Linked DNA regions of Mus musculus: region 1 is reported to be linked to region 2. Evidence: microRNA targets listed by miRTarBase, many of them from high-throughput screens and not tested one by one. Region 2 holds a microRNA gene; the other region holds the end of a gene's coding sequence.
Evidence for each region. Region 2 holds the annotated microRNA mmu-miR-486a-5p (UCCUGUACUGAGCUGCCCCGAG, at 1,862-1,883, opposite strand). A microRNA usually pairs through its seed, bases 2 to 8, with sites in the 3' UTR of a target mRNA and lowers its output. Matches are read on the target gene's strand: a 7mer-m8 pairs with bases 2 to 8, a 7mer-A1 pairs with bases 2 to 7 and ends in A, and an 8mer does both.

Region 1: miRTarBase lists Aim2 as a target of mmu-miR-486a-5p. Seed matches in the 3' UTR shown: 7mer-m8 at 2,174-2,180.

The regions. Positions count from the first base shown.
Region 1 is chr1:173,464,682-173,467,742 of GRCm38, reverse strand. It overlaps Aim2 (absent in melanoma 2), which reads right to left. Exons shown (of 9, transcript NM_001013779.2): 9 at 1,703-2,772. The coding sequence ends at 2,725. Among named protein-coding and RNA genes, the nearest start is that of Ifi206, 25 kb to the left of the region's middle.
Region 2 is chr8:23,141,470-23,144,469 of GRCm38, reverse strand. Mir486 (microRNA 486) reads right to left here and starts at 1,915; the gene lies at 1,788-1,915. Ank1 (ankyrin 1, erythroid) reads right to left here. Exons shown (of 44, transcript NM_001110783.3): 43 at 2,750-2,874. The coding sequence ends at 2,776. It overlaps Gm15816 (predicted gene 15816), which reads left to right. Exons shown (of 6, transcript NR_169137.1): 3 at 1,266-1,346. It overlaps Mir3107 (microRNA 3107), which reads left to right and starts at 1,808; the gene lies at 1,808-1,897.

The DNA.
Region 1 (3,061 bases), not on the chromosome of region 2:
GGCACTTACATGACTGTCTCCTAGAAGCTGTCTGCAGTTAGCTGTTAGCTGATGGTTGTTCAGCAGAGTCATAAAAAGAAAAAAAATTGTAGAGTGACTAGAGGATATTCTATTGATCTGTTCAGCTGACAACAGTTCTATTGATCTATTGTCTTTGGCAAACACTGAGTCATGTGTGTTTCTAAGTATGAAGGAGTTTCATCCTTAATTCTACACAATTCCACATGTTGGAAGATTTAGTATTCCATACCTAGAACCTATTCCTTCTTTTGCTCCAGAAGCAGAACAATTTTTCCTTCCCCTTGTTTCAAAGCTTCCTGTCTTAGTTAGGGTTTTACTGGTGTGAACAAACACCATGTCCAATGCAAGTCTTACAAGGACAACATTTAATTGGGGCTGGCTTACAGGTTCAGAGGTTCAGTCCATTATCATCAAGATGAGAGCTTGGCAGCATCCAGGCAGGCATGGTGCAGGAGGAGTTGAGAGTTATACATCTTCATCTGAAGGTTGCTAGCAGAATACTGGCTTCTAGGCATCTAGGATGAGGGTCTTAAAAATACCTACTCCAAGGAGGCCACACCTAATTCAAGAAGGCCACACCTTCTAATAGTGCCACTCCCTGGGCTGTGCATATACAAACCATAACAGGTCTCTTTGCCATGAAGAGTAAGAGTTGCTTCTCTTCCCCTAGAGTGTAAGAGTAACTTTTATTCACAAGAGGTAATAGTCATCTTGGAGACTTACTGCCTCTGTCTACTAACCTAGGTCTAGTCCTGGAAGCTTCTAGCTTCCAAACTCAAAATTCCTCTCCAGCCTGATTCAATATGGCTTCCCTTAGCTTCTTAATTTCTCTGATGGCTTCAAACTAACTTTGGCAATGTGTTCTAACCTTCTAGCTCTTTCTCATCCTCTGGCTCATTCTTTCTTCAATTGTGCCTAGCTTTTTCTTGTAAACAACACAATCTGGAGGTTCACTGTGTAATTAAATATCCTGCAACACTAGAGAAATTTTATCATATATGAGGACCTCAAGGGAGACCTTCATGCCTTTCCCTCAGCGGCTCATCTTTCCCAGGCATGTGCCCAGACTTTCTCATGCCCACCCAGGAAAGTACCTGAAAATGAGCATAAGCTCTCCTTATGGTGGAGGTTCTCAGAAGATCTCCATTCTCATGCCACTAAACTCAATCTTGGTTAATTTGCTAACATTTTAACTTAATTATAATTTGTGAGTTGTCTAGTATGCACTACCTGCCCCAGGTAGAAATATTTCCTTCTCCTCACTCTCTGAAGATGTTTGTCTTTCCTTAGGTTTTTCTCATGTGCTTGTACTACAACCTCAGCTCTCTGGGTGGAATCTAAAAAAAAATGTGATTTTTGCAATTACCTAACATTATTTATTGGAAGAACAGTCTATTCTGGGAAAAAGCACAGCAATTAATCATTCAATAGCAAATGGTCATCCCTGAAAATATACATACAAGCAACATTGTACAGATTGAGCAGGTTGTATTTATATATATATGTAGATATGCATATATGCTTATAGCAACAATTCATGAAAAAGAAGGCCATGTATTTGAAAGAAAGCAAGGAATGGTACATGGGAGGATTTAGGGGGAAGAAAGGAAAGAGGGAAATAGTATCATTGTATTATGATATCAAAAATGGAATAAGTAATAAAAATAGAACAGTCACAAACTTTTTTCTAACTTTCTGAATCATGAGTAAAATCATATTTATTTATTTATCAACAATCTTTCTTTTTAAAAACATAATTCTTTTATTGAGTGCTAGGGAATTTCACATCACATACCCCAATATCACTGATTTCTTAGTACTATCATACCCACCCTCCTCCACCTGTAACCTCCTCCCCAAAAGGAAATTTAAAATTTTTAAATTAAAAAATTATATATCACCAATCTTCTCTATCACCCACAGGCGTCTCTCCGACAAGGCCCTGCTGTCACATCTGCAATCCCGCCATACTTATACCCTCAGTGTCTATGTAGAGAAGAATGATATCTCAAACCTTAGACAAAGCAACAATTTTATTAGATATTTTCTTCATTTACATTTCAAATGCTATCCCGAAAGTCCCCTATAACACCCCCCACACACACTCCCCAACCCACCCACATCCACTCCTGCTGCCTGGCCCTGGCATTCCCCTGTACTGGGGCATATGATCTTTGCAAGACCAAGGGCCTCTCCTCCCATTGATGACCGGCCAGGCCATCTTCTGCTACATATGCAACTGGAGACACAGTTCTGGGGGGTACTGGTTAGTTCATGTTGTTGTTCCTCCTATAGCGTTGCAGACCACTTGCTGCTTGGGTACTTTCTCTAGCTCCTTTATTAGGGGCCCTGTGTTCCATCCAATAGATGACTGTGAGCATCTGCTTCTGTACTTGTCAGTCACTGGCAGAGCCTCACAAGAGAGAGCTATATCAGGATCCTGTCAGCAAAATCTTGCTGGCATATGCAATAGTGTCTGGGTTTGGTGGTTGTATATAGGATGGATCCCCAGGTTGGGCAGTCTTAATAACTTAATTAATAATAAGTTTACATATATTTTTCAGATGTTTTTTGAGTATTTGTCCTTTTCTAAGTAATACAATATGATGATGAGGTTGTAAAATGCTATCCTCAGGTAGTTCAGTCTAGTTCAAGGAGCAGCATCAGGATTCTTCAGGAAAAGGTTTTTCAAATGAGGTGACTTCACTCCACACTTTTCATGTCAGTTTTTGGCTTTGCAGCCTTAATAACCTGGGTAGGAAAGGAAGATGAAGACTGAAATATTGTTGATTAATTAATTCTCCTCTACTTTCACTTACTGTGTTCTCCTGAAAATTCCTTTCTTCTCATCAAATCTCCTCACCTAACACATATTTCCTCTTAATTCTGTCACTCTTGGACAACTCTCCTGAACTATATCTGCCCTGAACACACACACACTCCTACACAAGAAGGACAAATATGAAGACTTCTCAGGTCCCCATCTAATAACTCTATATATACAGTTGAGTGGTGAGGAAGAGAGGAAAGCAGAATCAGT
Region 2 (3,000 bases):
TGGGGGAGCCAAGTCTTGAATCTGGACTCCAAGGCTAGTTTTTACACTTGGAACATATAAGATGCTTTTCATTATTCACAGTAGTCCTGGTCTATAAAGTATGAGCGTGGGATTAGCGAATACTGAATCACCGCTCCCAAGGGACATGCAAGGTCATGCTTTCCTCAGCCAGCGACTCCATCAGCATGCTGCGTGTGTATTTCTTTTTGAGGGTGGCACATCGCATGTATGCAGGCCATTCACTCGTGCTCACCCCATTGCCATCAACACAGTGCCTCAGGAAGACTTAGAACTCATCTTCCCCGGACAGACAGAACGTCCACACAAACAGTGAAACAAACGATGAAGAACTTGGAAATGCACTGTGTCGTTAAATAGATTAAAAATAAAGGGCAGCATGAGACCCAGGAAAAGGTGGAGCTGGGGACGGCACATGCCCATCACTTTGTGGTCACCTTTGTCTGTGTGTCTGGGAATGACTGAGCACGGAAGGACTGGGTGCTCATTTTTGGATTTCAAGAAAGGTTTAGGGCGTAGGCAAATCGGAAGAGGAATGACAAGGATCGGCTGGACTGCCTGTGGGGCGGGGGTTGGGGGCAGTGGTGGTGGGGACGGAGCCTGAAGCCCTTTGGTAACTTCTTACTGAGGATGGGCCACTCTTGCTGCTCCACAACCTGGTCAGACCTGGGCAGGAGCCTGCCACTGCACGCTCTTCTGCCCAGTCACTACCCCAGTCACCCACCCTCTGTCTTTTGTTGGCAGAGGCTAAGTACTGTCCAAACCAGGCTGCTCAGAATTCCTGACTCCTAAACTCATGAGGTCTGGTGGCAAATATCCCCCTCCTTCCCTTTCTCCCTTTCTCTCTCTCTGTAGTGTGTATGTGAGAGAGTGTATGTGTGTGTGTATGTAAGTGTGTTGTGCCTGTGTGTGTATGTGTGTGTGTATGTGTGTTGTGTTATGTATTTAGTATGTGTGTTGTGTTGTGTGTGTGTAGTGTGTGTATATGTAGTGTGTGTGTGGTGTGTGTGTGTGTGTGTGTGTGTAAGTGTGTTGTGCCTGTGTGTGTGTATGTGTGTTGTGTTGTGTATTTAGTATGTGTATGTGTGTGTGTTGTGTTGTGTGTGTGTAGTGTGTGTATATGTAGTGTGTTGTGTGTGTGTGTGTGTGTATGTGTGTAGTGTGTGTGTGTGTGGGGGGGTGTTGGGGCAGGGGCATGCCGGGTACAGTAAATTAATGAAACACTCTACTTCTGCCCTGTCCTTCAGCTGCCTTGCCGTTGCTGCCTCCCATTGAGGCCCTGGATAAAGTCTCAGCCAACAAACACAAGTGCAAGTCCGGCTGCCACTGTAAGAAAGATAGGGCTGAAGAAGACATTCTCCCTCCCTCCCTCCTTTAAAAATGACTCGAACCTTTGGGTTGTTTCCCAGCCGGGATCAAGAGCGAGTCTTGGCCTTTAAATCAGCAGACATGCAGGACCCTCCTGGCAGTGCTGGGGTTAACACTGTGACCTCCTTACAGCTGCTGAGGAGTCAGGGCTAATTTTACTCTCCTATCGGGCTCTGCCCAGCCTCATATTGTCCAAGTGCTGAGATATGTTGGGAAGCATCAAGTCAGCACTTCTGCCGGCCCAGGAGGCTGCGCGGGCCCTGCTTTTTGCAGAAGGCAGAAAACCAGTGACTGCCTGCTGCTCGGCTCTGGAGCTGGGCCCTGAGAGTTCAGGGGTGGGGGTGGGTGGGGGAAGGGGCAATAACCCAGTTAGTGCTGTGCATGGGCAGAGGCTGTGATGCTGGCTTGTTCCCCGTTGTCTCCCACCCTGACGCATCCTGTACTGAGCTGCCCCGAGCTGAGCACAGTGAAGGACCTCGGGGCAGCTCAGTACAGGACCCCTCAGGGAGGGCGAGATCAGAGCTGGCTGCTGAGGCTGGCTCTTGGGCACTGCAGCCTGCTGAAGATCTTCGTTGCGTAGCCTGGCCCACCCATCCTTGGCCCCCGCCCTGACGCACACCCCTCACACACTAGTACAGCCGTTAGCCATGAAGACCTTCCTCACTTCCAGGGAAGATTCTACCTATGCCTTGGGTCTGCTAACTTAGTTCCTTCTCAGACATCAAGCGAGCAGCCTTGTTCTCAGAACAGTAATCGAATTAAAGCTATGGCAGGTTAGGACTCCAGTGAGCCTTAAGGTTTATGTCTGGCGTGCTTTCTGACCATGTGTAGTGAGATAGGCTCAGACTGTGTTTTGAGCACTACTTCAAAGCACTATTTTAACATTATACTGGTACAGTCAGGCATGGTGCTGCATGCCTTTAATTCCAGTACAGAGGCAGCTGGATCTCTGTGGGTTCAAGGCCAGCCTGGTCTATTTAGCAAGTTCCAGGACAGCCAGGGCTATATAGAGAGACTCTGTTTATAACTAAATTGCACAGGGACTGAAGGTGTGGCTCAGAATGCCTATCTCTGGTCCCACCCCCCTAACACAGCCAAAAAAGACAAAAGAAAATATAAATAAGCAAAATAAACCCAAGCCCCTGATTTTGTGTACTCTCCAGCAGACTGGTGTCAACAGAGAGGCACAGGTCTGAAGAGGACGTGGAGGGGCAGAGACAGTGGCTAGTTTGAGGAGTGGGATTCTGAGAGTCTGGTTTTAACTCTGAACTGAGCTAGTAGTGCAAGGATGGGGTGGGTTGGGAGCAGCAAGCAGCTACCTCATCAAGGACCATGCCAGCAAGGACGAGAAAGCCACTGTTACCTCCCAAGGGGCTACTTGAGGAGAGGTCACTGCTTGCCCCTTTTCAGGCTGGCCCGCTTCACTATCTGAGCCCCCTTCCTGCCCTCTATCAGGTCCGGCTGGAGTCCACTCCCTCTTAGCTCCACCTGGAGACAGCATCAGAGACAGAAAGTAGGAAATCACACAGGCAGATGAGCAAGCTCGGGCAGGAAGTGAGAAGGGTCAGGACAGAGAGGAGTAGGAGGAGGAGGAGGAGGAGGAGGAGGAGGAGG